Coturnix japonica: one gene and its partners. The protein of the gene in region 5 interacts with the protein of the main gene of each other region in a pairwise test. Links are inferred from orthologs where the notes say so. Each region holds a gene or a part of one and is shown on either strand. Other genes may lie near its edges.

Region 1 (5,887 bases), on a different chromosome or scaffold from region 5:
CCTCTCTGTGACCTCCTTACTGTCATGGACTCCAAGATTGTTCAGGTGGCGTTGAATGGCCTGGAGAACATCCTGAGGCTGGGAGAGCAGGAGGCCAGCCAGAGCGGGACAGGCATCAACCCGTACTGCAGCATGATAGAAGAGGCCTACGGTAGGTTCTGCTGCCCTCGGTGCCACTGACTCTGAACACAGTAGAATATATTGGAAGGGTCTGCTAGTTTTGTTTGCTTTTCTGATGAGTTAAGGGGCTGGGTGTGCTCCAGATGAGCTGGTATTTGTTCCAATAATAGATCACACTGTCTTTGTAGAATGTTACAATACAGCATAAGATAATGTCAGGAAGCAAACACTACTGTGCTTGTGATCCAGGTTTCTTAGACCCAGAGGCCAGGCTGATAATTGCGGCTCACACTGTTGGGAATATTAATCAATGTAAGCTGAGCTGAGTAAGACCCACTTCTTGGGTCTTTGATTTGTCTAATTGTCCCCAGCTGTGCACTGCAAACGCATGACAGAAATCCAGAGAGACGGAGCTTGTCCCTGGAGAGCCCTAATTTGGTGGTTTTGTCCTGTTCCTAATGCTTTGAGGAACGGTTCCTATTTTGGTCTGAAATGCCCTGTATACTGTCAGCATCGTTTTTAATGTTTTTTCCCTTGCCCTCTCACTGACTGTTACATTGTGTGTCCTGGTTCCTCCAGTAAGAATAATTCTTGACATTCCTCAGTGTGCAGTGCTCGGATTCTTCCCGTTCAGCAGTGGGTTTAATTAGGACAGCTAAAGTTGTTGCTGCCCTTCTGCTGAATGCTGCTGGGACAGGCCCTGCTTCCTTCCCCTGCAGCTGCTGAATGTTCCCAGCCAGTGGCACAGATTTCACTGCCCAGTTCAGTGCTCGCAGTTCTTTGCTGGAGACTTCCTGCTTTACTGCATCAGCTAAACCTGCAACTGGGAAGGTTAATGGTTGCTGATATAGATAAAATCCACAGGCAGCTCTGGAGAAATGGGAATAGTTGGCTTTAGCTGTCGGTGCTGCTCACAAAATGCTCACGTAACACAGACAAGCAATGAATAGGGGGAAGGGTGGAGGATGGATCGGGACAGCTTGAACGTTAGGATCTCCTGTCTCATCACATTCCACTTTTGTCTTTTCTAAGGCTTGGATAAGATTGAATTCCTCCAGAGCCACGAGAATCAAGAGATTTATCAGAAGGCATTTGATCTGATTGAGCACTACTTTGGAGTAGAGGATGACTCTGCTTTAGCTCCCCAGGTAGATGAGAACCAGCAGCAATTCATCTTCCAGCAACCTGAAGCCCCTATGGAAGGCTTCCAGCTATAATACGCCCCAGGCAAAAAGACCACCACAAATTTGCCACAAAACAACTGGGAGAAGCTGCTGATCCCATTTCCTCCTTGCAAACGGAAGGCTGGACGCTCACTCCACCTGTTAGGAAACAATTCTTCCTTCAAACGAATAGACAGAGTGCTTTATCCTCATGAAGAAAATGGGATGTCTTGCACGTTTATTTTCTTTTTGCTGCTGCATACGTGTCTTTAAAGCAGGCATCTGGGTGGAGGAAGGACACTGAGGTAACTCGTTGCACCTCTTGGGTTTATTTTTCTTTGTGGTGATCTCTCCCAAATGTCACTTCTTACCTCGGGTACTTAATTGAGGTTTCAGCGTTGGGTTGGGTAAGAACAGAAATAGAAAAGCGAGTATTCAGACGAGAATAATTCTGGAAACCTGGGTTGATCTATTTAATTTTTTTGCACATGTTACTCTTATTAAAGACTCTAATTTGCCAAGAGCAGAGTTTAGCCCTGGCCTTTCTGCGCTCCCCATGCAGCGATCCTGGCAGAGCTGGGCTGGATTCACACTGCAGAACATGGACAAAGGGTGAGGGGCTGTGGGAGGATCCTCCCCGTGTCCTGATATTGTTGGTTGGTTTGAGCTGCTGCTGTTGACAAGGGTCGAAGCAGCCGGAGCTGGTGGCTGTGAGCAGGGCTGGGGCTGGGGGGGCTGTACTATGGGAGCTGCCCCATCCCCAGCTGTATTGGAGCCCCACAGCCCGGTTCTGGTGCTGTGTGAACACACTGGGCCTCATTTCCATGTTTCCGTCCCGCTCACAAACATTTTCCTTCATAAAGTCTCAGATCTGTGTATTTTATACGATCTATCGGCACCTGTTTGTCTAATCGGGCTCCAGAGGAAACCAACACCTGTGTAATGTAATGTGTGTAATAGCGCTGTGAGCCGTTACCTGCACACGAGGCCCGAGCTGCTCCCGTTATAGCGCTGTGTGTGGCCGCGCTCACGGTCGGTTCCTCGTACCGGGCCGGGATCGAACAAAGCGCTGAGCGGAGCCGGGCCGGGAGCGAGCGGCTGTGGAGACCGGGGGGGGCGGAAGTGGCTGCCGCGGGGCACGCCGGGAGTTGTAGTTCCCGCGGCTCTTCCCGCTCCTCGCCTCTGTCTCCCGGCGGCCCCCGCGGCTGCTCGGCGCTGATTGGTCGGCGGAGCGGGGCGGCGCCTGCGCGATGAGCGCACGCTGCGAGGCCCGGCCCGGAACCGCTTCCTTCAGTGCGGGACCGGCGGGGGGAGCGGGCGTTGCTGGGCGCTGCTGGGCGCTGCCCGCCGGTACAACGGGGCTCTGCCGCCTCAACCGGCACCGACCGCACCGGGAGGAGCGGCCGCTACGTCACAGCGCTGCCGGTGACGTCACGGGGGTACGGGCGTGACGTCACGGCGGGAGGAAGGGAGGTGTTGATGACGTCACGGGGGTCACGTGGGATGGCGGGAGCGGACGGGGGCTCCGGTCGGACCGGGGGGATCCGGGGATACCGGGCTGTATGGGGATACAGGGCTATAAGGGGATACCGGGATATGTGCGGGGATACCGGGCTGTGTGGGGCTGATACCGGGCTCCATGGGATCCGGTGCCGCGCGGCTCCTCGATGCCGTCCCCGTGGCGCAGCGCTGGGTCGCGGCGGGTCCCGGTTCCCGGTTCGGTCCCGGTTCGGTCCCGGTTCCCGTCCGCTCCCTCCATTCCCCGCTCCAGCTGCGGTTTCCGTTCCAGCGGTTCTCCCGGTGCTGAGCGCGGAGCGGTGCCGCCATGAAGAACCAGAGCGGAGACGGCAAAGCGGCCCCGCGACCCGCGGCCAAAACCGGCGGCGATCCGGGGGACGAGGCGGAACCGGCAGAGCCCAGCGCGGCCATGGAAGGTGCGGGCAGCGCCGCGTCCCGGTATTGGGTACGGGGCGGCCCGTTCTGTCCGGTCCGTTCTGTGCGACTCGTAGCGTTGATCCCAGCAGCACAGAGTCCCTGAGCGATCGGTTCCTTTAGTGCTGCTCTGTGACATTGAGACAGGAATGGGTGGTCAGCTCACAGCAGGTTCAATTAACCTTGCCCTGCGTTTTAGTAACTGTGGAACGTAGGAGATGCACAGCAATGCAGTGAGTTCAATAGCTGATGCTGTACAGCTCTGCTTGGGAGGAGTTGTGGATGTAGAGAAGTGCTGAGGGGCTGCTGGGATGGGATGGATTGTGCTGGGATGGGGATGGGATGGGATGGGGATGGGATGGGATGGGATGGGATGGGATGGGATGTGGGTCTGAGCCGCTACAGCTGCTCGTATATGTGAGCAAAGAGGCAAACTCAGCTTATAGATCTATTGTTGTGCAAAAAAGGCTCTGGGGATATTAGCAGGCTGCTGCTCCGAGGGAAGGCTCACACACAACCTGCTTTGGTTAGAGGATGGTGGGAGGGGGCAGTTCTTGCTCCTGACAGATGTCAGGGTCTCGGTCATGCTCTCGTGATCAAAAGAGGCTGTTAGGAATGCACCTCCATTGTCAGGGCAGCTGGCTGGAGGCACAGCCTGAACAAAGCAGTTTGTGTGCTGGGAGTTCAGCCCGCCCTGGTGCACTGAGGTGCTCGGGGAAACCTTCCCCTTGCTGTGTGTGCGTGGAGAGCAGAGAACAGGCGGCGTGGGGAAGCATCACGCCTTTGTGCTTGTATCTCCGACAGCTCCCCTTGCACAGGACGACACAAAGTCCTCCCGGGCTGCCGTGCAGGATGTCTCTGAGGAGCTGAGCAGGCAGCTTGAGGACATCTTGAACACGTACTGCGTGGATGCCAGCCAGGAGGGTCCGGGTGAGGACGGTGGGCAGAGTGAGCCCGTGGAGCCAGAGGAAGTGGAGAAGTGCCTCAGTGAGTCCCCGAGGAACGGAGATCAGGAGTCAGGCAGCCCCGAGATGAATGGTGAGAAGGAAGGAACGAAGGGGACCGAAGAGTTTCGACCTGGAGACGAGTGTGGAGAGCGGGATCAGAAGAAGGCTCAGGAAAAGAAGAAAGCCAAGGGCCTCGGTAAGGGGTTTCCTGCTGTGGTTGTGCTGCCAGCCTGAGAACTTTGGTGCAGATGTGGATTTTATACTGCACTAAGTGCTGTTAGAGAAATGAATACCTTAGGTACGTGTTTGGAAATAGTACAGCATCTTATTCTTGTGGTATGGGAGGAAACGTTGAGTGTTGCAAAGACACTCATCAGTCCTGAGTGCTGCTGCAGCCTCTGAATTGTGCAGGTTTCCCCTCTGCTGCACACAGCGTTGTCTAGTTGGCCCCTTGGTGGTTCCCTACTCTGATAACCACGTTTCTCCTCAGCTGCTTCAATTGTTCACTGCTGTATGTGGTGAAATCTGGGGGACAAACCCCCAAATAGGCACTGGAGATGGGAACTCTGGGCCAGGGTGGTCACAGGTGTGAGACCTGGTTTCTGTCTCCTGTCCTTGCCTTTATAAGCCACAACTCCATGTACGTGACGTCACCTTTCTGTTTAATTCTGTCTCACTGCAGGCAAAGAAATCACTTTGTTGATGCAGACCCTGAACACCCTGAGCACGCCAGAGGAGAAACTGGCAGCACTGTGCAAGAAATACGCTGAGCTGGTGAGTCCTCGTTTCTTCATTCCAGGCTCTGGGGCAGTGGGAGGACGCTGCTGCAGTGAGCACTGGGACAGCACTCAGAGCTCTGCTCTGTTTAAGCATTGAGTGCTTGGAGGTCCTGAAGGAATGTGCACTTCTCACCAATTCCAGTAGGATGTTAATTCAGGAAGGAGAAAGGCTGTGTGTGGGAGACCTTGGGTTCTGTATTCATCTGACTGTGCTTTTTATTATAAAGCTCCTGTCCTTTCAGAGTAGACAGAACACCTATTTGATCCCTGTGTACCCTTATATGGGCACAGCATTGCCCTGGTCTGTTTTGCTGCATCTCTGCCCTCTGCTCTCCTACCCTAGCTGGAAGAACACCGAAACTCCCAGAAACAGATGAAGATTTTGCAGAAGAAGCAGACACAGTTGGTGCAAGAGAAGGACCACCTGCAGAGTGAGCACAGCAAGGCCATCCTGGCCCGCAGCAAGCTGGAGAGCCTGTGCCGTGAGCTCCAGAGACACAACCGTACCCTCAAGGCGAGTGTCTCCTGGGATTGCTGCAGGAGCTGCTTCCTCCCAAACCCTTAGGTCACCTGCTGCAGGGCTGATTTTAAGGAGTGGTCGCCCGCAGTCTGATGTCCAGTGCAGGATTTCAGTTGTGCTGTTAATCTGTTATCTTGCAAGGGACAGCAGGGGAGGGAGCTGACCCTTGTGATTTTATTTTGAAGGAAGTGATCATTTGTGGGCTTGCTCAGCTCTTGGAGTGAAGGAGCTGCCATGCAATGGCCTGCAGAGCCTTCCTGATTGATACCAGCAGCAGTGGGAAGTTGGGTGGGTTCAGATCATCACGGCCCAGGGAGGTTTGTTCATCTGCCTGATGTGATGCCACGTTGCTGTCTGCCCTTCTAATACAGGAGGAGGGTGTCCAGCGAGCACGAGAGGAAGAGGAGAAACGGAAGGAGGTGACAT
Region 2 (5,765 bases), on a different chromosome or scaffold from region 5:
TCTGGTGCTGCACGACCTCAGCGGGGGCCGTGCGTCCGTCTGTGTCTGTCCCTGCGTGGGGAGGAGAACCGCCAGCTCTCCGCGGCTCCTCTGCCGTCCTCACTTAGTGCTGTCTCACCCCAAATGTGCTGTTTCCTATGTGAGCTCCGTCCACTTGGGCTGGGGGGGATCCAGCCATGTCCCGCAGGGGTCCAGCTGTGGCTGGCAGTGCTGACCCCATTGTGGGCACGGCTCGCCCCTCGCCGCTAGCAGACCCGCCGTGTCCATGTCCAACCGTTGTCACTTTGGTTTCTCTGTAAGTCACCCCCCCCTTATTTATGTGGAACTCTGTTTCAAGGAATTTTTTGCACTACATGGGACCGGGGAAGGGATACAAGCAATACAAAGCCAATGTGTACAATAAAGGTGTTTTCTTGAATACGGGATCCTGCCTTTTGCATCCTTCTTTTACACTTGCCTGGCGGAATCAGGCAGCACTGCTGGGAAGACAAAAGCAAAGGGAGGGGGTTCTGCTGGAGCTCATTGGGACCAACCCAGCTCGAGGCATGGGGGCTTTGGAGGCAGAGTGATTTACACCTCCCTCAGCCTTTAAATCCCAGCTTGGGCTCCCCAGGAGCCTCCAGCACTGCTGACAGCTTTCCTTGCCGTGGAAATGAAAACCAGACTGGGGGGGAAACATCCTCCTTCCCTCCAGCTGTCACAGGGGCTGGGAGGAGCGGAGAGGGGTCGGATCTGCCTTCATGAGCTGCTGCCACTCATTGCTGGCTGGGGGGAGTGCCAGACCCCTTTCATAGGAGCAGGGGGTGAAAAGGGCAGCGTGGAGCTGCATGGCATGGGGTAACCGCATCTGTGGGGCCCGAGGGGGGGACTTTCCCATGCACAGCCCTGCAGCAGAGCCCCATGCTGTCACACTGGCTTGGCTGCTGCCCGGCCGTGTCCTCTTTCTGTCTGCTCCCCGGCCTCTTGCTTCTCTCTCGGGCTTCTATAAATAACTGTAAAAGTCTTTCCGAGGTCTGGAGGCCGGCAAACAACGCCAGAGGAACAGCACGTTTCTGGTCACGGTGCTGAGCGTGTTAGCTACGGCTCTTAGCAGAAATCAGACCTTTCCTGACCAAATCCCAGTTGTTACCATTGGCTGTGAGCTTTGGTGGCTGCCAGGAGGGGCCAGGACTTGGCTATGCAGGGTTTACAGAAGTGCCCGGCCATAGGATGTATGGGGCTCCTACAGGGGGCAAGGGGTGTCCCATCGCTTTACCTGGCCACAAAGGGTTAATGAGTTATAAAAGAAGTGGGATAAGAGGCTGATTTGGAAGTGGAAGGTGCAGGAGCCTTTGGCAGATGTTCTGTTCTTAGCAGGACCCTCCCCAGCTGTGGGATTGGTGCTATGGGATGTGCTGCTCTTGCACCCACCAGCACAAGGTGGATACAGACAGAGTCCAACAACCCCAACGTGTCCCTATAGCGTGGTCCAAACATCCCCGCTAGCAAAACATCCTCTCCCGGTCTTAAAACCCCACGTCAAAGAATCCATCATAATCTGGGAGGTGTTCCAGCACGGAATGAACCTTCCCATTAAAAACACACATGCTGTTTTGGGCTTAAATTACCTTCCTTCTCTCAGCATCAGCCTTTGCTGCTGCTCCGCCGGGTTGTCTGTGACCCTGCAGGGACAAAAGCTGCTCCCTGCAAACCCCTCACTGCCAGAGGGGGGTTCTTCTTCACCCACCGAGGCAGCACTATCCCTATTAACTCCTTCCATACCAATGCAAGCGAACAGCCGCAACTCAAGACTCTCCTTGCAGAACTCTCAGATGTGAATCCTCCACGTGCTTTGTGTTTGCTTCTGAGTTTCCCCATTTGCTGTGACCATCCAGCCTGGCTGTTTCAATCAACAGGACGGGAGCATTCATTCTACATCCACCTTTCACCTCATCATTAGCAACCCCATTTCGTCACCATCTCTTTCCGCATCCCCTCCAGTGCCCATTGACTCCCAGTAGGACAAATACACCCAAGGCATTTCTATAGCCCTATCCCATGCAGTGAGCTGGGCTCAGCCCTGGGACCCAGCCCCTCCCCACACGTCCCAGCTCGACGCGGGGAGGAGGAGAAGCAGCCGGTGAGAGCCCTGGGCCAAAAGTCTGTTTGCTGGCGGCTCACACCCACAAGTCACTGCCGACAGACGGAAGCGGGGCATGGCTGCGTGACACACGTTTTGCTTTTGCTCCCAGTGCTCCCAGTACTCCTGGGTTGCAGGAATGGGGAACATCGCTTGCGTCCCGCAGGCACCTGGGGGGTTCCGAAATTCCTTCAGGAGGAAACCTTCATTAAAGAAAGAGTGAGTAATGAGTGCTTTTATTGGGAATGGTGCTGAGATCTGCTTGGGAATCCCAAAGAGCAATGGGAGGTTTGTGGGGTTTTAAGCTGCGTGCTACGGCAGCTGCAGGAGCTTGGGGTGGGATCATAGTGCTGTGCCGGAGGGTTGAAGCCTCACTGCACTGAGGAACAGAGTGATTTATTTCATTGGAGTTGGGAAAGATCACCTCCCCACTATGGGGAGCAGAGCTGAGTGCTCAGCATTCCTTTGTTTTGTGTTTTATTTGTGCTGCCATAACCCTAACCATAACCATAGCCTTAACGGTAACCCTGACCCTCATCCTAACCATAACCTTAATGGTAACCATAACCCTAACCATAACATTACCAGTAACCCTAACCCTAACCATAATCTTACCAGTAACAAAAATCCTAATCCTAACCATAACTTTACCAGTAACCCTAACCCTAAACCTAACCATAACCTTACCAGTAACCCTAACCCTAAACCTAACCATAACCTTACCAGTACCAATAACCCTAATCCTAACCATAATCTTACCAGTAACCCTAATCCTAACCATAACCCTAATGGAAACCCTAACCCCAGCCATAATCCCAATGGTAACCTTAACTAAACCTAACCCTAAGCCTCACCCTAACCCAGTGTACCCACCCGTCCCTAACCCTTTAGAAGGAAAACCCCAAACCTGGCACTCAGCCTGACCCCTGCTGTGCCTTTATGGGAAGCAAACAGCCCTGAAACCCCCCCCAGGGCAGTGCTACACTCCTACTGCAGCCCCAAATGGGGCTCCTTGTGTGCTGTACCAGGGGGGGGCCTGCAGGGGGTGGAAGGGAAGAGAGGAAAACCACAAAGACCCCATAACACCCAGCTCTGTGTATGTGGGTGTGGGTGTGCATGTGTGTGCACATACAGCTCTGCCCTGAGGGTCTCAGGGCTGGGCTGGAGGTGGCACATTGCAATAGGACATCACTGCCCTGTGCTGTTCCCAGGCTCAGCTGAGAACATTTGGTGATGTGAAGAAATGGAAAATAAAACAAAGAAACACCAACAGGTGCAGCATGAAACCTGCTGTAATCATCCCAGACAGTTATCAGCCCAGTGCTGAGCTGGGATGATTAGAAAGCCCAGAGCAAACTGCTCACAGAGCCTTCCAAGTTCCCTGTTTCAGAGCAGAACTCAGCTCAAATCTTTGCCATTTCTCCCTCTGGCCCCATAGGCAAAATGGCAAGAAAAAGCTGCCCAGCTTCTTTGGCATAGACGGAGATGGGGAGAGGGATACAACGACGGACAAAATCCTGCAGTACATCCCTGGGAAGGCAAGTACCAGCACATCCTGCCCCACAGGCTACATTCCCACCCATCCCAGGTCCAAAGGTGCACCAGGCTCTGCAGCAGGGCAGCTCAGGGCTGAGCTCTATGTTTGGGGTCCCTGTGGAGGGGATAAGGACACGCTGTATCTCTATGTGTGAGATTCAGGGGGAGCACAGTGCGGTGGGAACATCATCATCACTCTCAGCTCTTTGTTTCTGGGTAGGAAGGGAAAATGCAAGCACTCAAAGGTAGGATGATTCATTCCCACGCTGGAATGAGACGGAGCAGGCAGCGTATTAGCAATGAGAACTGGGAAGATAATCAGGAAGGGCAGGTCTGCCCCGGGCACGTAGCAGCCCCGTGGCCATATGGCTGAATCCCAGCACTGCTTGGGGAACACAGCACTGTGTTTGCCCAGCACCTCGGGGTGGTCCAGGGCTGTGGATGGGGCAGCACTGAGTGCCATGCTATTGTATGGCAGTCGGGTCATGTGAATGTGGAGGAAGGGGGAAACTGAGGTGTAGTGCTATGCTTGCTACAAGGGACATCCTGCCTGGAACTCAGCAGCACCCATAGTGGGACATCTCCATCTGGGAGGTGATGGAGTCAGCCCAGCTGTGTGCACAGTGCATCCCCCAATCCCTGCTTCCACCCCAACCAGGGATAGCATCCTTGTTTAGCTCCCACACCCCACCCTTCCCTTTGTTTCCCACCCTACCCAACCACAGCAAATCCTAAGGGGAAGGATGTGCCCGGAGCACAGCTCTGGCTTTGGGTGCTGTGTGAGCAGCAGTTCTCAGAGCCTCAGGGCTGAGCCCTTCCTGCAGGGTGATTCAGTGGGGGATGTGGGGTACGGGCAGGTTAATCAGCAACCGGCTCTACCTGCAGGATGAGCAGCGGGGATGTGGGGAGGCCAAGGAGGTGTTGGGGTTGGCACTGCTTGCCAAGCCCCAAGAGAAAGCTGCTTGCCTGGGATCTGTGCTGCCTGCAGCACAAACGGGATAGAAAAACACAGAGAGCCCCACCTGGTAAAAAATTGACCTGAGCTGTCCCACTTCTTCCTGCCTGACCACAATACCTGATGGGTGCTGATAAGACCGCCGGCGCTTGGAAGCTCTTCTCAATTATATCTTTCTCAAGAGAGAAAAATCCCATTCCCTCCCTTTGCCCACTGGCTATGCAGGGTCAGAACCTCTCCCCTTCCCCCTCCGGCCCTGACCCTGGGCTGCAGCTGGAAACACAGAGCTGGCTCCGGGCTTCTCCAAGGGCAAATAGTGTGTGAGGGGAAAAAAAACTGAGTCACCGGGCCCTGTGGGTGCTGAGGTTTGAGCATGGGAAGCACAGAAACAGTCATTAATTGCCTCCGGTGAGAGCATCACCAGGCAGCCTGCAGCTCCCCGTGGTTCGGGTGTATGTGCATAGCAATGCATGGAGCTGGGAGGGAGACTACAGCAGCACTTAGCTTAGCACCTGGAGGAGATTTCAGAGCTCTTTGTGGGTGCAGAAGGAGCTCAGCTCTGCAGGTATGAGGGTCCCGTGAGCTGCTGAGCACCAGGGATGGCTGGGGTTGGTGCCATTCCACAGGGGTGACTCATGGGGGCCCACAGGGGTGAACTGCTGGCTCTGCATTCATCACGGGGTGCAGCAGCTGTCTCTTTGCTGTCCCCCGGCTCCCTGCTGCGTGCCTGGAAATGCTGCTTCAACATGTCACCATCACAACCCTCCTGCCTCGACATGGGAGGAAATATCCCATGTAAATGGGTAAAAAAAGGTCCCTCTGGGTGGTTTGCAATCTGGTTCAGGGTTAGCTCGTGGCTCCCATCCTCTCTTCTGCTTGGCAATGAGTATCTCTGAGCCTGTGTGCAATACCCCATGGGCTGTGGGCAGTGGAGTGCAATAGGGGTGTGGGTTTGTGCTGTTGCACAAGGAAGGAATTTCCATTGAACCAGAGCTCAGGAAACAAGGGAAACCCCTGTCCTGGAAGGCAAACTGCATTGTCTTAGCCTTGCTTGGTCCTTGTCCCAGTCAAATGGGTCAGGATGGCAGGAGGTTGGAGTTGGGAAACCCTAAATATGCTTCTGCCCATTCCCTTTCCTACCCCAGTTCCAGCTCC
Region 3 (5,807 bases), on a different chromosome or scaffold from region 5:
AACCAGGCTGTAGGCTGACTCATAGCTCTTATCTATCCCTGCACAGTAGTAAAAACATAAAAGCATAATGAAAACAGGCAGGAAAACAAATGATGCATTACAAGACACAGAGCAGTGGGCACAGAGTTTGCAACTTTTTAACCTGTGCAGCCTGAAAAGGTTTCTTGTTCTGACTTGAGATCTGTAAATGTCTGTTTTACTTCACATTCACGATGATGGCAGCATCTCTTCTGCTTTCTGGATTTCCTCAAATGCTTGTTGCAGCGTTAAAGGTGGGGATTTGTGATTCTTGATGTACTGCAAAAAGTTAATACACAATTTGTTTGTGTAGAAAAATACTACATAGCATATAAATGCCTCTGTCATAAATACCTCTTTAGCCTCCTCCAGTGTATGATAGTGGAACTTCTCATTCTCTAAGGACTCCACAAGGGACAAGTGAAGGTACTGGATGTTCTCCACAAATTGCTGGGTCAACATCAAGTGCTGTTTTAACATGGCATTTAAAACAAGAACTGAGGGACTGTATGCTGTCAAGGCTGCAAAGAACGAAGAGTGTGTATTTTAGTAACATGACAGTCATGGAAAGTGCTAATAATGAGTCAGGCAGTGACTACGTGCATAAAATAGAGTCAAACAATATTAAGAGATGTCTTTCAGTACCTTCTACTGCATCCATGCTGATGACATGACTGGCAATAGGTACTGGATCAACGTAGCTGTTCCCAACAGGCAGACCAAGCACTGCAGAGCTGTTTGCTGTGTAGAAGACAAGAATTACTGGGTTTGGAAGGCAATGATTCAGTGCTAGAATTCAGCTTTCAGGTCATGGGCTTCCTTAGAACAGTTTTAAACCCAACAGGGAATTCAATCAGACAAACTAATGTTGATGTAAGCCTGTGCCCTCCTCCCTTTACTTATTCTCATGTTCGCACAACTTGCCATTGCAGAAGCTGTATTTTCTAACCTCGGACACAGCACAAATAAAGGTTCACATAGTTGAAGGAAGCCACTGTTTTCAGCAAAGTCCTGTTTTCTCCTTGTTTATGGCAAGAAGCATCTTTCTTAGCTTCTCCTTTCAAAGAGGATTAGAAAACAAGTTACCCCTCAGAAATGAAGGGCACAGCTTACTTACAGCTATCAAAATGCTGTGGTTCAGAAAGCTTTTATTGGCACATCAGCTGGGGGAAGCTGATCAGGTCAGCTTGTAAAATATGAACAAATCTCAAGACTGAAGAGAGCGGTGTCCTGATTTAAACATTAACTTACTCTTTGACCAGCAGTAGGTGAATGGAAAATCCACTGTCTGAGCTGCAGTTTCTTTTACATCTACTCTGTGTACCCGTTTGTGCCTTTCTCTGGCAAGTAAAGGGGATGATGCTGAAGAAGATGGGTCTTTTCCAGAATACATGGAACTCTCAGAATGTTCCACTGACATTTTAGATACAGTTTCCTTGTCTGTTGTAGATGGAGATTGTTCAAAGTCTTCAGAATATTCTGAATTAACAGTTCTGTCATCACCATCAGGATAATCCTGCCTATGCCCAGAAAAAGATGAAGAAACTTCTAATTGCTCAGGGATTTCAGCTTCAGTCACGTTTTCAGTAGCCCTCTCAGAACTATCAGGTACAGCAATTTCTGCACTTATTTTAGGAAAAGTTGGATCCTTTTCCACTGGGAATGTGTCTTTTTTTGTCTTTCTATTTATTTCTGGACTGATTTGAACGTGCGTCCCCTGCAAAATAAAAGAGCTGTATGTTAAGAGAGTCAGCAATACATAATGTAAATATGGCTCCATAAATCTTTGCAACCAGTGAAACATGCCCATCTCCAAGAGTTTATTAGCAGAACAGATGTGTTTATTTTAGAACCTGCACCCTTCATCAAATGAAGGCAGAATGGAAAGACATGAAATTTCTACTTACTTGCTGCTTTAATTCTGCTGTCTCACTAATGTTTGATGCCAAATCATCCAGGCTCAGGATATTCTGTCTGAAGTCTGCAATTGAATGACAAATTGCCATGAGAATTCATAGGAAAGTTACGGTACTACTTCTATGAAGTGACAAAAAGAAGAAAAAAGGCCCAATATTAAGAAGGAACAGTACTCAATCACTTCTGAAATCTTTAATTCAGCAGCAGTTCTTTCCAAAGTCTCCTCCTCTGCAGGAGGACCTGCCTACGGCTCCACAGACCCTCAATGCCCTGCTTTTAAGCTCAAACCCAACAGTATATTGTCCCACTCATACATCAATACAGCTCTAAATGTTGGAGTTACGATGTCACAACTGTCAGCCAGCATCCTTAATCTGAATCATTCAATGAAAAGCCAAGAAAAATACAAATGTGCAAACAACAAAGATACATATACAACAAGATATAATTTCTTTTCTAAAGCTAAAGCTTATGTAAAAATAGTCTAATGAATATTTTCAAAGGAAGTATTTGCCCACGTTTATTAGTAAATAATTTGTATAATTTGTGCCAAGTCTATCAAGATAATGCTAGGAAATGCTTACCATTTGAGCTTATGCTGCTTGAATCTTCCACATCATCTGCTTTTGAAAATAACTCATCTAATGATTTTATTTCACTTCCATCACTTCCACTCGACGCTTGATTTTGCTTAACGTTGCCTCTTCTGGGCAAAATCATTTTTACAGTATTGTCTTTCGTGGAAGAAGTCAGTGATTGAGACCTCGTATCACACCGTGCTGACTGGTTTCTGCTGGCTGAGGAAGGTCTTAACAAATTCCTTCCATCTAAAACGTTTTCCTCTGAGTCTTTGCTGTGAAGAGAAGCTACTTTAGATACTTCTGTCAGCAGAATTTCCTTAGGAGACGGAGGAGGCGATCCTGGTGAAACTGGACTCTTTAAAAGAACATGAAAAAGAGATTTCTGCATTACCTCATTACTGCATGTAGATCACTAAAAACAGACTGTAATGGGTGAATCCCAGTAATTTGATAGTGTGAAATCATGCTAATTGTGAACACGCTATAAACAACTTAAAAATAGTTTTCTGGTGTTAGTAAATAGAGTGACATGCCAATCTAAAATACTCCCATCAAAGTATAAACAGAAATACACAATGCAGGGCAGTCTGTATTTACCTTTCCACTCCACCTGGGATCAGCTGTAACACACCTTTGGTTCTCCCTTCCACTGGAGAATCCCATAGAGCTCTCCATACATTCTCCCATTTGCTTCCCATCACCACCCAACCCGAGCTGTTGTGTAACCTTAAAGTTCCTTTCGGGGCTTTGGGTGCTTCCCTCTTCCTCAGAGCAGCCCTGGCTGGCAGCCACATTCCTACCAACGGCAGCAGAGCCCTTCAAGTATTTCTTGCCTCTCTCGCGGTGTTTAAGACTGGAAGCAGACGATGAATCTTCATCCCAAGGCTCCGGGCCCATCTCAGCGCTCTGCAGTTCCAGCTGTTTTTTCCTGTTGAGGATTTTGTTTTGCAGCTGCTCCACTTTTCTCAGAGCTGAATTCGATCTCATGTGAGCAGCGCTGAACGCAGCGCTCGTGGCTTCAGCTCCGCGCTCCGCCGTGTCCCGCTGCTGCCCGTGCGCTTCGCCCCGCACCTTCAGGAACCTGCTGCGGCCCAGCGCGGCTCGGCCCGGCCCGTCCAGCTCCGCGCCGACGCCTCGGATCTCAAGGCAGGAGCGGGGCAGGCCGCAGTGTCCGCTGGCGGCGGTTGCCCAGAGCGGAGCAGCGCCGCGTCCCTGCCGGGAGAAAAAGCGAAGTGAGGGGCGCCCCTGCGGCCCGTCTGGGCTCTGAGGGCCGCCCCGACCCGCAGCCTCGTCCCGAAACACCGGACGCGGCGCAGGCCTCACCCGCTCCCCGCCCGCCGCTACGCGCAGCGCCATCTCCGCACGGAGCACAACGAGGCCGGGCCGTATCCGAGAGACAGCGACTCCCCGACATCCGCACGCCTCCTGGGGACTCTAAGCCAATCGGAACGTCAGTTATAAAAGACGGGCAAGGAGCAGCCAATCAGAGCTTAGTATAGAACTGGATCAAGCGCGAGGTGTTGAGGGCAGGAGGTGCGAAGCCGTTACTGTGTGAGCGTGATGGCGGCCGGGCCTGCAGCGCGCGGCCTGCTGCTCCTTGGGGCTGTGCTGCTCCTTGGGGCTGTGCTGGGCGCTGCCCGGGCCGTGGTGTATTTCCAGGAGCAGTTTCTGGATGGAGGTTGTGGGAAAGGAAGGGAGGGAGAGGGTGTGATGGGGTGGTCGTTAATAAGGGTGGTGGGCATGCTCTGAGGGAGGGAGGCCCTTCCTGTGCCCCACATAACGCTCCTCCTTTGCTCTCGGTACCGGCCCGGTGGGGCAGGCGGTTGGCGGCAGCGCTGGGTGAGCTCTGAGTCCAGGCCGGACCTCGGCACTTTCCATCTCTCTGCTGGGAAGTTCTACGGGGATCCTGTGAGAGACAGAGGTACGTGGGGGCACTGGAAGGAGCTGCTATGTATGGGGAGGGAAAAAGGTCGTTTTTCTAAGAGAATGGAAGTGTAAATTTTAACCTGGCCGCAGCGAACACAATCAATGCCTCCCTCACCCAGCACTGCAAGGGCCAGGCTCTGGCACTCAGTACAGCCAGAGACCTGCACACCAGCATCTTGGGTTGGCGTCTCAGTCTGAGTCTCCTCAGAAACTGTGGAGCCCGCAGTACAAGAAAGACATGGAGATTTTGGAAAGGGTCCAGAGGAGGGCCACGAAGATGATCAGGGGGCTGGAGCACCTCCCCTATGAGGACAGGCTGAGGGAGTTGGGTTTGTTCAGCCTGGAGAAGAGAAGGTTGCGGGGTGACCTCATTGCAGCCTTTCAATACCTGAAGGGAACTTACTCCCAGGAGGGGAGTAAACTCTTGGAAAGGGCTGATAATAGCAGGACTAGGGGAAATGTTTTTAAGTTAAAAGAGGGAAGATTTAGGTTGGATGTTAGGGGGAAGTTCTTCACTAGGAGAGTGGTTAGGCCCTGGAACAGGCTGCCCAGGGAGGCTGTGGATGCCCCGTCCTTGGAGGTGTCCAAGACCAGGTTGGACGGGGCCCTGGGCAACCTGATCTAGTAAAGGTGTATGTTTGGTGGCCCTGCTAGGCAGGGGGGTTGGAACTACATGATCCTTGAAGTCCCTTCCAACCCAGGTCATTCTGTGATTCTGTAAATTTGAATATTGCCTTTATAGGTCTACAAACAAGGGAAAACTCCAAGTTTTATGCCATCTCCTCAAGATTTAAACCATTTAGTAACAAAGGGAAGACTCTGGTCATTCAGTATACTGTGAAACATGAACAGAAGATTGACTGTGGTGGGGGATATATAAAGATTTTTTCCTCAGACTTGGATCAGAAGAATCTGAGTGGAGCTTCCCCTTACTACATCATGTTTGGTGAGTTACTTGTCTGTCAGCACAATGTTGCCATTGCTGTTGTGCAGCTCCTGAAGGATGTTTGTGGAAAGGATTAAAAGCATAGAGGAGAAAGTTGCTTCAGTAAGAATGTTGTGGCTGTAAGCAGTTATTTCTTCTATAGTTGAGACATGTGAAAGTATGTATTAACAATCCATGTTTATCCAAAAATTCTCAGCTGATTTGAAGGGCATTTAAATATTTCAGGCCTTTACCTGATGTAAATGATGTAGCATAGGCTGTTTGTTATCTGCCCTTAAATATATTTGTATGTATAGTGAAATTTGTTCACTTGTATGTCAAGGTTTGTAGTTTAGTATCTAATGTGGTTTAAGAATTATTACATAATCCTTTCATTTATACTATAGATAGCAACCTGCATTTTTCTGCAACGCAATTAA
Region 4 (5,903 bases), on a different chromosome or scaffold from region 5:
GTTATGGTCATCTGGGACCACTCATTTACAAAGATGTTTCCAGCTCTCTGGGAAGAGCTCACAGGTTACCCTCCCCTCTGGAACACCACGCAGCCAGCATCCATCCTGGGGCAGCCCCATCCGTACATACCAACAGCGACAGCATCTGCACCATCGTGATTTGGGCATTGCACAGATATGCCAGGAAATAGATGAAAGAGGAGACTCCCAACCAGTAACCAAAGCAGGTGCCAATGGCTGTGCCCATCAGTGTGCCTTCCCTCTGTGGAGACAGCAGCAGGACAGAGAGAACTCAGAGCAAGGGCCTGCCAGCACCTGAGTTTCACTGCAGAGCACCCAGAGCCTTTCATACATGTATACAAACAGCTGGCTTAACAGCAGGCAGGTTGCCCCACGACCTACACCCCATCTCTCCCAGCTACAGAGCATTGGGACTTTCTGATGCAACTTTCCTCCCCTCTCCAAAACCAAAAGGATCTTCCTCAGATCAAATCTGCTTTTCAGCTCTTGTGATACAGAAGAGGTTTCCTCTCCCTTTCCAGTGTCATTATAGCAATCCCAAACCCGGTCAAAGCACAAATGAATCACTGAGACTCGCCATACAATGATAGTGTCCGAGGTCTTCATCCCATGCAACAGGATGGCCACCAGCGTGAAGACCAGCATGAGGGGTCCGTAAAGCTCACCTGCAATCTTCTACATGTAAAGAGAGAGATGAGGCTTAGTTAGTGCTCCTGTCTTCCAGGCTCTCCACCCTGAGAGACATAACGAGCATCTTGGAGACTTTTATCACCCGAGGAGCATCTGCAAGGCCACTGCTGACAGAAGCCACACAGAACAGACTGTGATGAGTCAGAGTGGTGTTCAACAGGATGCAGAAATGGGCAAAGTGAGGTCTAGAGTTCTACAACTGTACCAGCGTTAAGGGTAGCAGGAAGGTAAAGGCAGCGCTGGCACAGGCTGTGCAGGGCAGCGGTCACAGCAGTGAGCTGGCTGGAGTTGAAGAAGCATCCGGACAATGATCTCAGCTATATGGTCTGATTTATGGGTGGTGCTGTATGGAGCCAGGTGAGCCTTATGAGTCCCTTCCAACTCAGGATGTTCTATGATTACAATTCTATGAGAATGGGGTTTGGAACAACCATAGGAAAGGGTTTACTGATACTTTGAGGGAGGTGAACATCTAACAGACTTGGATCCTTAATAACAGGCTAATTACATCTGAGGGGTCTCTGTGGAACAGTCACTCAGGCTGTGGGGTCTGGTTCAGTGAGAGAGAACTCACCTGTGGGAAACTGATCATCTTGACGGGCACCATGGACTCCAGCAACCTGCATTACGGCACAGCGGGGAACGACATCAGGACAGTCATTAAGAAGCAACAGATCCCGTGCACCCGCTGCCCTGCCCACCTGGTGCGCACTTGGACGGGCTCCACGTCGAAGTATGGCCGCAGGATGTCGATGTTGGCGTAGAGGCTGAACGCTTTGGACGCCTGTCGCTTCCCCACCTGCCACATCTGCGGACAGAACGGTACGTGCAGCGGCGGGGCCGGGGCCGGCGGGGCTGTTGGCGGCTCGTGAGCCCACTCACCTGGTCGGCCACCTGCCGGCCCAGCTGCCCCTGCAGCCCCTTCATGCCCAGGAACTCGCCGTCCTCTTCCCCGCCGGCCCCCGCCTCGCCCTCCGCCTCCTCGTCCTCCTCCTCCTTCATGCGCTGGTGCATCTCCCCCATGTCCTCGAAGCTGGAGCCCGACGTGTCGTCCATGTTCTCCATGTCGATGACGGCCGAGCCGCCGCCCTGCTCCGATGCACGGATCGTCAGCGCCCGCTCGGGCCCCTCTGTCCCCCCCCCCGCGGGCCGGCCCCACCTGCACGTTGTCCTCAAAGCCGCCCCACTCGGCGGTGCCGCTCCTGCCGCCCGCCGCGGCCATAGCGCCGGTAACGGGGGACGGCAACGCGGATGTGACGGTCCGGCCGCTCCGTGTCTCGCGAGAGCCGTCAGTTCCGCATGGCCGCCTTACGTGCGGCGGGGCGGGGCGGCGGCGCGTCCTTCCGTCGGCGATGGCGGCCCGGCGCGGCACGGACGAGATGCGGGAGCGCGTGGTGCTGGGCGAGTTCGGCGTCCGCAACGTGCGTGGGGCGGCGGGACGCGGGGCGGCTCCCGCATCACCCCCCGCTGCCTCACGGGCTGCGCCCCCCGCAGGTCCACACCACTGACTTCCCAGGCAACTACCCCGGGTACGACGACGCGTGGGACCAGCGGCGCTTCGAGGAGGTGAGTGGGAGCTGATGGAGATGATGGAGCTGATGGAGCTGCTGCTGCGGGGCCCCTTGTTCGGCTCCGTCGTGACGCGGCGCGGTTCCCGAGCAGGGGTTCCGCGTGGACGTGGTGCGGGAGGAGGACGGCGTGCTCGAGTTCGACATGGTGGGCATCGACGCGGCCATCGCCAACGCGTTCCGCCGCATCCTGCTCGCTGAGGTACCGCGGGGCTGGGAGACATGACGAGTGGATGGTCCCCGTGCGGTGCCCTGCTTGGCGGCTTATCGCCTCGCTCTGTCGTCCCCCCGAGGTGCCGACCATGGCTGTGGAAAAGGTGTTTGTGTACAACAACACGTCCATCGTGCAGGACGAGATCCTGGCGCACCGACTGGGCCTTATCCCCATCCGGGCCGACCCGCGGCTCTTTGAGTACAGGAATCAAGGTGAGGGGCTCGGGTCGAACAGCGGTGGGGAGGGTGGAGCCCATAACCAGGAGCTGGGGTCACACCGTAGGATCATGAAGGCCATCAGGTCCAACGATCCCACAACATACAGGGACTCCTACATCTGACCAGGTGCTCAGAGTCCTGCCCAGCCTGGCCTTGTAAGTCTGCAAGGACAGGGCATCAGCCGCATCTCTGGGCAGCCTGTTCCAGTGCCTCACCACCCTCATTTTCACCACTCTCACTCAGTAATAGACTTTTTCTTTATCTCTAAAGTAAATCTACCCTCTTTAAGCCTCAAACCGTTTCCCCTTCTCCTATCACAGCAGACCCTGCTGTAGAGTCTGTCCCTTTCTTTCTTGCATGCTCTTCCTAGGTGCAGAAAGGCCGCTTCCAGGTCTCCCTGCAGCTTTCTCTTCTCTAGGCTGAGCAGCCCCAGCTCTCAACCCATCCTCGTAGGAGAGATGTTCCATCACTGGGTCATTCATGTGTCCCTCCCCTGGATACACTTCAACAAAGCAGAATTCACTTCCATAAAGATACTGTTTTGCCATTTCCAGGAGATGAAGAGGGGACGGAAATTGATACTCTGCAGTTCCAGCTGAAAATAAAATGCAGCCGGAATCCTCAGGCAGCCAAGGAATCGTCTGACCCAAACGAGCTGTATTTCAATCACAAAGGTGAGAGCTCCTTGTGCCTGCCCTAAAAGTAGGTGCAGCTTTCTGCTTTTTCTCTTGTTCATTTTCTTCTTTCTCTCTCTTGGTGTTTTGCCTTGTGAGCAGAGACAGCTCATTTCCTCACAGTATACATAGCTTGCTTGTGCCATCTCCTATTCAGGTCAGCAACCTGTTTTCTGAGGCAGCAGCTGGCTGATGCTCGTGGTTTCTTTTGGCAGTGTACAGTAAGCACATGACATGGGTTCCCTTGGGGAATCAGACAGACCTCTTTCCGGATGCTGACTTCCGACCTGTCCACGACGACATCCTTATAGCACTGTTGAGACCTGGGCAGGAAATAGATGTGCTCATGCACTGCGTCAAGGGTGTAGGTGAGTGCTGGGTCTGAGCTGGGGAGTGGGTGTGCTGGTGCTTGGACTCGAGCACAGCTGTGTGATGGGAAACACTGGAGAACTAGCTTGACCCCAAGGCCTGTCCTCATCCTTAATTCTGAACTCTTTGTGCAGGTAAAGATCATGCCAAGTTTTCTCCTGTGGCCACAGCTAGTTATCGACTGCTTCCTGACATCACTCTCCTGCAGCCTATCGAGGATGAGGCAGCCGAGACGTTACAGAAGTGCTTTTCCCCTGGAGTCATTGAGATCCAGAACGTCAAGGGTACTTTCTTTCCAGCTGTAAAGTGCCTCGTTCCTAACAAGTCTTAGCAGTGACTGAATAGAGACAGTAGAGATTGTAGTCAAACCTTGTTGGGAAAATAACACATTGCGATGTTGTCTTGCTGATCAACAACAGTTGGTGCTGTTTTGAGCCTGGTTGTAGTGGCTGAGTGGCTGTCACACACAAATGTTTTTAGCAGTGAACTGAGATCTCCCTGAAATGCTTATGTGTTGCATGCCTGTCTGTAGAGCCCTGTGCTACTGTTAGGTGTCTGGGTAGCGAGCTTGCTCTTTGTAACAGCTGAGCACGGGGAGGACTTGTGTCCTGCCCAGGAGCACATACAGGCTTTGTGTTTGGCTTAGAACTGTTCGAGGAAATGAATTCTGCCAAGCTGGAGTTTCATGTTAGGGATGTGCTAATTATATGTGGCTTTGCTGCCTCTGCTGCTTGAGGGGTAAGTACTTTTTGTGACCCCAAGGTGCTCATCTGCTGCCGGTGCCCACCTTGTTTTGTCTTCTCCTTTTAGGAAAGAAGGTGGCAAGAGTAGCCAACGCACGGTTGGACACGTTCAGCAGGGAAGTCTTCCGACACGAGGGTCTGAAAAACCTGGTGCGCCTGGCCAGGGTGCGAAATCATTACATCTGTAAGTAGCCTGTTTTGTGCAGAGCAGAGTGCCCAGCCCGATTCTGCTTTGTACAAACAAGCAGGGGCTGGCCAGTGTGCATACCTTGGTCTCAGTCTTTCCCTTCTACTTGGCATCGTTATTCTTCCTATGTTTGTATTCCTCTGGGGAGCTACTGAGATAGTGGTTTGGTGCAGCTTTGGGGTAGGATGTGTTTGTGCTTCTTGCTGGCTTATTTCTTTCAGCTGCAAAGGTCTGGCTTGCTGGAAGTGCAGCATAAGGGAAGATGAGGAGCAAACGCTGGAGCCAGCCGCAGGCTGAAGCAGCGCAATGGCCGTGCTGACTTCTGTCTCTGTGCAGTTTCAGTGGAGTCGACAGGTATCTTGCCTCCAGACGTGCTGGTGACTGAAGCCATCAAGATACTGATGGGAAAGTGTCAGCGTTTCCTGAATGAACTGGATGCTGTGCCAATGGAGTGAGTGAGCTGTACAACCAAGAACCCTGTGCTGCTGTTTTGGGCTTCTTGCTCTGGCCGGCAGGAGTGGTTCTTCTGCCCTAGGCATGAATTTGGAGATGGATTTTTTTAAGAGCCCTGGGACCATCTCTTTGTTTCGTGTGTGATGAGCCTCAGTGAGGAGATGCACTGAAATAAAAGCTTGCTTTTACCTCTGCCTGCTTCTGTGCAGTTAACAACTGTGAGACTGTACCATACAAAAATAAAGTGGCAGCAGGGCTGAAGCCAAGTAATACTTGTTTTAGAATGCAGGCAGTGTGTGAAGAGGACCAGTAAGGCACTGTAGTAAAGCTCTTAGCAGCAGGCCCATGAGAACTGAAGTCACTGTCAGTTTATGTCTGTTTTGAAGATGTCTCAGTGTGGTAGCTGGGTTGTCTTATAGTACTGGGCTTCTTTGTGTAGTAGGGATGGTGGGGTTTAAATACGTGCTCTAGAATCCACAGGGGGGATTTGAACCTGGGCCTCCGTGTTGCAAGCGGCACTTCTACCACTGTGCCACCGGGGCATTCATTGGCTGCACTTTCTTTCTGGCAGCTGGAGCGAGGAAGGCTGAATACAAACAAAGTCATGACACCGTGGGTATGAAACTGGAATAGCTTTACTGACATTCAGAGGTGTAACACAACTGGTTCAGAGACAGCTTTAAACATTCCTACAAAAAAAAAAAAGGCTCTAAAAACCATTTAAAAAAACCCCTTGTGTCTAGCATGAAGTCACAGAATGTTAAAA
Region 5 (6,012 bases):
TCCCAAACTCACTGTGTGCTTGAGGAAGTGGGGGTAAGAAAACAGATGGCTTACTTGGTGTCCCAGAAGGAACTGGCAACATAACAGAGTAACAAAAGTAGGTATTTTCACTCTTATTCCATCTCTCAGATGACCTAGCCATGGTCAACTGGCTAGTGTTGGCATGGGCATGCAAAGACTTTGCAGAACACTGCAGGTTTGAAGGTTACTGAGGCACGCTGGCAGCAGTGCTGTGATGTGGTCCCTGGAAGGGCAATTAGACTGAATAGATGGTGACAGAGGGATGTCCTTGAGACCCTTTTCGAACTCAGAAAACCTGCTCTGCGGGTTTTCCTCCCTGCTCTTGCACTGCCGACCAAGTGCACTCAGTTCCTCCTGGGCAGAACACTGACATATCGCTCCAGCCACATCACTGCCACTTGCTGACAAAACACTATTTTTACTCCCTGCCCAGTTATTCAGGTCAAGAGAAGATTCAAGATCACTCACATATGCAAGAAACTTCTTTCTGACTCAGTGGGATTTGCATGAAGGCACAGTGCCCTGAAGAACAGGGGGTCAGTGTGGGGTCAGCTGCCTGTGCTGACACTGACAGAGGCAGAAGCAGTTTTCAGAAGCAAAAATGTGTTCGGGGTAATAGAAAGTGCCAGTGGATTCCTTTGCATTCATTAAGGAAAGTTTTAGGTTTTTAACACGTTTTAAAAAGTGGAGAATAATATTATGCATTTGCTAAAAGCAGATTCTTTTGATTACAGGCCCTTGCCCAAAAGCAAAAGAAGGAAAGGGTTGTGCTTTTGCAGTAGATACATGTCATCATTCCTAATGGGAAGGAGGATGAGATGGGATGGGATCTTCAGGGTCCTTTGCACAGGTTCTTCATAGCAGCAGCTCTCCCCTCCCTTGCTTCCATTTTCCAGCCAAAGACTGGCTGATGGCCTGTCACATCCCAGCATGGAGATGCATTTCCAAACTGGAGAATACTGTGTATACGGGGAGAGGGAAGGGGGCGGGGAGATGCTATTGTCCAGTCCTGCCCTGTGGATTCTCCTCCTCAAGGAGGAGAGCAAGGTCAGCTGAACAATCTGGTATAGGGTGGGGTGGGGGTTTGGGGTACATGGCTTTAATTCCAACTAACACTGAGTTGTAACAGCTTAACGTGGAGAAATAGTCTGAAGCTTTGGGAAAAGCACTCAGCCGGTAAGTTCAATCCCTTCTTACAGAGCTGGAGTTACCATCTCTTGACAGGGAAGGGAACGCAGTCAACATTATTTCTGCCTTCACAGCCTTGTGAATGACAGCCTTATCCTTAGGACAATATAGCTCAGAAGTCAGTGCAGTTGCTTTGAAAAGTTCTGCCGTGAACAGCTGTGTCTTTACAATTCTGGTGTGTGTCTCCACATACATGTATGCACATCTGATGATATTCGCTAAATTGGATCCAAATATATTACTGTTTGAAGTTGTAACTTTCAACAAAGAAGTGACTTGCCAGAAGAACTTTATCCAACATTCAGGACAATAAGAAAATGCATAAGAAAAAGTGAAAGTATGCAGCTAACTTAGTTCCTAGGAGTTCTGGACCAAGCAGGCTTTGCCTGCTGATAAATCCACGGTGCCCTTGTCTCTGTTAGCTCAGTTTTCTGTCGGCTCTTAGAACTTAAAACTTTCATTTAAGGTCTGTGCCAGTGGTCCACACACTCAGGTATTCAGAAGTTCAGCTGCCTCCCCTGAGAGCTGTAGCAGCTGGACAGCACCCTGGCACTGCCATCTGACTGAAGGCCAACTACTTCTTAGGGGGATATTTTCCAGTTTCTCTTTGTAGGACCCCAGAACTTGAACAGAGGAGAATGAACCCCGGGGAGTTGTCATGGGAACTTCTGATTTACTTATTTATTGTGTTGTCTGAGATGAAATAGAAACAAGGAAAAAAATACAGAAGAGAATTGTATGCCTAAGTTTATTATCTTTGCAGAACACTGAAGCCAAACTATACCTTTAACTTCCTAAAGCAATAACAGTCACTTTGGGATTGATGTCAAGTTGGTAATTTTCACTGGAATAGACATTAATTGCTGTATTTATTATTCAAAAACCCTGATGACAGGAAAAAAGATGAAGAAATAATCCACATCTAAAAGATTAAGCAAATAAGAGAGAGAATGAGATTATTAGAAACATAAAGACATGGAAGCAGGAATAGCTGCTATAAATAATATCTAAACTTGTAATGCATGAATGCCCTGCATGTTCTGTTTTCTTCTTAATGGGGTTCAGTGATGATCTACTCTTTAACTTATAGTTACAGAAAAACTCATATCCATGTTGTCCTTTAAAAATAACTTCAGCTGTCATAGCGCATACACAGAAGGAAGTGGTTTTTGAACTTATCAGCATTGGTTCAGCCAGAGAATTAATGTGTTAGATTCAGAATAAAAGCAAAATTTCTTTTAGGAGAGCGTGATGGAGGGAGAATCCATCTAAACTGCTCTCAGTTATGTGCATCAGAGAGGGAAGCCTGGGTTCAAGAAAGGACGTGAGAGCTAGGCTACTGGAAAGGTCGTTTCCATGAGAAATGACCCAAATGTGCAATGCTGGGAAAAATAAAACAAAATGGGCTGTGAGGGGGGAGAGGGGGGAGCTCCTGGACTTGTGGAGAAGGGGCTGGCTCTGGGCGTGGTGATCGCATCACAGTGGGTTCCATTGTCCCATCTCATCACCATGCCCCCCCCATACAGAACTTGGAGCAGAACTTCAGGCTAAAAAGCCAAGCGGAGACCTGGCAGCTGTGCAGGGCAGTGAAGAGGGTAGAGTATCATCTCCAACAAGCAGGTGAGTACATGCTGGTATGTAATTTGGTACTGCCAAAACACCTATATATGCTTGATTTCATGCGGTCTCCCCCAACCCTGCTCCTCCAACCCATCTCCCCATCCTGTGGAAGGAATTTTTAGTTTGGGAATATGAATAAGGAAGGTGGGAAAATTTCTCTGAAGCCTGGGTTGACCTCTCCCCTGCAATACACAGGAGCTGATAGAGGTGCTGTCAAGTTTAATTGACCCCAGGACAACATCCTTCAATGCTGTATACATTATATACTGCTGTTTATCCTCAAAACTTGCCATATAAACACTTTAAACATAAGTGGCTTTAAATGCCTGCGCATGAAACACAGTGAAGGGTGGGTCTTGGCTTGTGATGCTGGCTGTTTTCTCATCAGGGTTTAGGGATCAGTTCCCCCTGTGATTCAGCTTCCCATCATGGGGATAATGACAGGGACATCAGCACCCTCTGAGGGAAAAGGACAGGTCTGTGTGAGGCAGGGAGCAACAAATTGCTCGCTGTGCTCTGAACACAATGTAAGGGGGAAAAATAAACGCGGAAATTGGCAAGCAGTTGCAAACAGTGGGAAATCCCTTTTAGCAGAGGAATGACATTATGCAAACACAAGTCTGATGTGAGATATACCAGATGGCAATGCGGAAGGCAGCTCTGAAAGTTAAGCAGAGACCTTATATCAATAAAATCAAGTGTTACGGCAAACAGACCCATATTGCAATTATTCCTTCAAGAAGAGATTTGGGGCTTTGAACAGTAGCAATATGTCTTTGAGCTTTCAAGCAAGTTTGGGAAGGCAAAGAAGGAGGTAGCTGTGGGTGGTGGGTCTCAGAAGTAACTTGGAGGAGCCCAGGGAGGCAGCAGCTGGTGAAGGTTGTGGGGCAAAACAGGACAAAGGGTTCAGTGTCCTGGCAGAGCTGGGCCATGGCTTTGACCCCCTGCCAAGTGCTTGGGACAGATACAGAGGCAAAATGACTGCCCACCAGTCATATGGCAGCACTGGATGCCATATAGGACAGGAGGGTGACTGGAAGGCTTTGGGGCAAGAAGGATAAAAACTGGCAGTCAGCCTACCATTTTTTTTTTATCAGAAAAAAACCCAACAGTTTTATGCTGTGGTAAAAAGAAACAAATACTTTTGTTTTAAAAAGCAGTTCAATCTCAATCTCATTTCATATGACTTTCTGCATTTTATTTATCTTCCATGACTGTAAAACTGATGCAAGGGGATGAAAAGAGAGTCCAGGTTTTTGTATCAAACTTTGTGGTGCCACCAAGGCTTTGCCTTCTCCACTAGTGCCTGTTTTCTCCTGTTCTTGCAGTCCTAATCAAGCTTCATCTCCAGCTTCTGTGTCATCTAGTCCTTGCCAGTGGGCAGTGGCCTCCTGCAGTGGCCTCCTGCAGAAGTCTTTTCACAATCTTTCTCTGTTTGCCAACAGATAACCATGTCTGCTTTTGACCTGACAAACCAGAGCACACGGGGTACAAGGCCCGAGATGGACTGTGTCTTCCCACGGATGAAACTGAGGGATGAGACATTTACATTTATTGATGGTAAATGGGTGAATGAGGTGCACTGCCAGCCAACATTTGCATCCCAGAGGAGACTCCTTAACAAGAAGACAGAGAACGAGTGGAGCATCTGGGAGGAGAACAGAGCCCTCTGGGAGGAAAACCAAGTCCTCCGTATCGAAAACAGGATGCTCTGGGAAGAAAATAAGGCTCTGCAATATCTCCAGACACAGAACAAAGGTGTCCAGCTTGTTTACAGTGACATCATCCAGCAAAGCCTCCAGAAAGATAAGCTGTCCTCGTTCTTCCCAGAGAGGCATTTAGGTTTTCAGGTCAGTCCAAGCAACAAGGCTCTCCAGCTGGTCAGAGAAAGAAGCAGCTTCTTAGAGTTTTTCCATAAGCAGAATAGAACAGTTCCCAGCATTTGGAAAGATCAACCAACCTTCATAGTCCAAGAAGAGAACAAAGGCGCCAGCTCAGTTCAGAAGGTCACTGAATGTACCACAGCTGCGGGAGAAGGTAGCCCTGGCACATCCTCCCAGGAGGAGCATGATGCCAAAGAGGAGAGCACCACGCCAACCCAGAATGACACCAAGATTGCACCAACCGCAGAGGATGATAATGAAATCCTTCAGGCTCTCCATGACTTATACCAGATTCTCCAGGTGTTCCTCAAGGAGAAATGTCTTGCTGATGACAGAGACAGCCTTCACGCTCTCCAAGATGAGAAAAAATTCTTCCAGGAAGAGTACAAGAAATTGAAGCTGCAGCTGAATAACGTGAAAAACACTGTGTCAGACATTACAACTCAACTGGAAATGCTGGAGAAAGAGCTCATCGCCATCACTTTCCCAATATATGAAGAAGAAGGGAAGAACATGGCAAACGAGTTTCAACTTGGAGAGATTTGAAGCCTGGTGCTAAACCTGCTAGTTCTGTTTCCTGGAAAGTGCCTCTCTTTGTTTCCAGGAACTTAATAAAATACAAGCAGAGCATGAACTAAAATTAAAGCTGGAGAGTATTGTGTTATTCTGAAACTTTCTTATATTACCTGGGCAGATTTCAACTTTTGGTAGCGTGGTGCCTGGAAAGCATGCTTTTCAGCCTTTTGGGGGGGATTTTCTGCTAATGGAGAGCCTGCATATTCAAAAAAGAGTTCATTCTTTTCACTCTTAATTTGAGGTACCTTAGGTTGGCCATACTTTTCAAAGAGATGATTGGCACTTCCTGAAAATAAGAAACTCAGATGGGAACTGAGTTTGGGTCCCTAGTTGTCCCCTTCTTATGGCTGGCCATGTTCAGTGGCTGAACTGTACCAGCTGCTATGAACCAGCCTTCTCTCTCACACAGAAAATGTGGTCTCTCACAGGATACAGAGTCATGAAAGACAGCGTGACATAGAAAAACAAACTGCACGCCCCATGAAGCAGCGTGCACTAGTGCAAACCTAGTAAAGTGTTTCCCCTAGGGAGAAATAGTGTAATGACATGGCATTGGAGTTTTCTATGAAAAACATTTTTTCATAATAGAAATATTATCTGAACTGTACAGATTTTCTTTCTGCAGTACATGTGGATAAATAGGTAGATAGATAGATAGATAGATAGATAGATAGATAGATAGATAGATAGATAGATAGATAGATAGGCAGACAGACATATGCCT

What was found.
Region 1: the proteins of CBY2 (region 5) and TXLNA interact in binary tests that used the Homo sapiens proteins (3 or more experiments, as listed by UniProt). The two-hybrid records come from large-scale screens. The link is inferred for Coturnix japonica from reciprocal best matches to the Homo sapiens genes CBY2 and TXLNA.
Region 2: the proteins of CBY2 (region 5) and PLEKHN1 interact in binary tests that used the Homo sapiens proteins (3 or more experiments, as listed by UniProt). The two-hybrid records come from large-scale screens. The link is inferred for Coturnix japonica from reciprocal best matches to the Homo sapiens genes CBY2 and PLEKHN1.
Region 3: the proteins of CBY2 (region 5) and C28H19orf44 interact in binary tests that used the Homo sapiens proteins (3 or more experiments, as listed by UniProt). The two-hybrid records come from large-scale screens. The link is inferred for Coturnix japonica from reciprocal best matches to the Homo sapiens genes CBY2 and C19orf44.
Region 4: the proteins of CBY2 (region 5) and POLR1C interact in binary tests that used the Homo sapiens proteins (3 or more experiments, as listed by UniProt). The two-hybrid records come from large-scale screens. The link is inferred for Coturnix japonica from reciprocal best matches to the Homo sapiens genes CBY2 and POLR1C.

Annotation. Positions count from the first base shown.
Region 1 is NC_029538.1:4,544,285-4,550,171, reverse strand, and holds the start of TXLNA (alpha-taxilin), read left to right. Parts: upstream 1-2,537; 5' UTR 2,538-2,708; exon of another isoform or gene 2,709-2,722; intron 2,723-3,072; 5' UTR 3,073-3,108; coding exon 3,109-3,217; intron 3,218-4,019; coding exon 4,020-4,358; intron 4,359-4,844; coding exon 4,845-4,936; intron 4,937-5,284; coding exon 5,285-5,455; intron 5,456-5,832; coding exon 5,833-5,887. Other genes in the region: KPNA6 (importin subunit alpha-7), read left to right, coding at 1-151, 1,153-1,337. UniProt on the Homo sapiens protein: May be involved in intracellular vesicle traffic and potentially in calcium-dependent exocytosis in neuroendocrine cells.
Region 2 is NC_029536.1:2,436,585-2,442,349, reverse strand, and holds the start of PLEKHN1 (pleckstrin homology domain-containing family N member 1), read left to right. Parts: upstream 1-2,002; 5' UTR 2,003-2,258; coding exon 2,259-2,338; intron 2,339-3,557; coding exon 3,558-3,657; intron 3,658-5,765. UniProt on the Homo sapiens protein: Controls the stability of the leptin mRNA harboring an AU-rich element (ARE) in its 3' UTR, in cooperation with the RNA stabilizer ELAVL1.
Region 3 is NC_029543.1:3,385,074-3,390,880, forward strand, and holds the start of C28H19orf44 (uncharacterized protein C19orf44 homolog), read right to left. Parts: upstream 4,023-5,807; 5' UTR 3,873-4,022; coding exon 3,114-3,872; intron 2,872-3,113; coding exon 2,520-2,871; intron 2,000-2,519; coding exon 1,926-1,999; intron 1,736-1,925; coding exon 1,270-1,735; intron 760-1,269; coding exon 664-759; intron 540-663; coding exon 373-539; intron 298-372; coding exon 208-297; 3' UTR 1-207.
Region 4 is NC_029518.1:27,797,701-27,803,603, reverse strand, and holds POLR1C (DNA-directed RNA polymerases I and III subunit RPAC1), read left to right. Parts: upstream 1-2,020; 5' UTR 2,021-2,063; coding exon 2,064-2,132; intron 2,133-2,205; coding exon 2,206-2,277; intron 2,278-2,373; coding exon 2,374-2,481; intron 2,482-2,572; coding exon 2,573-2,705; intron 2,706-3,265; coding exon 3,266-3,385; intron 3,386-3,600; coding exon 3,601-3,753; intron 3,754-3,888; coding exon 3,889-4,038; intron 4,039-4,564; coding exon 4,565-4,681; intron 4,682-4,905; coding exon of another isoform or gene 4,906-4,940; exon of another isoform or gene 4,941-5,020; coding exon 5,021-5,139; 3' UTR 5,140-5,329; downstream 5,330-5,903. Other genes in the region: protein YIPF3, read right to left, coding at 131-262, 604-696, 1,286-1,331, 1,413-1,519, 1,594-1,800, 1,871-1,933. UniProt on the Homo sapiens protein: DNA-dependent RNA polymerase catalyzes the transcription of DNA into RNA using the four ribonucleoside triphosphates as substrates.
Region 5 is NC_029516.1:150,250,360-150,256,371, forward strand, and holds CBY2 (spermatid-associated protein), read left to right. Parts: upstream 1-2,729; 5' UTR 2,730-2,829; intron 2,830-4,274; 5' UTR 4,275-4,280; coding exon 4,281-5,258; 3' UTR 5,259-5,357; downstream 5,358-6,012.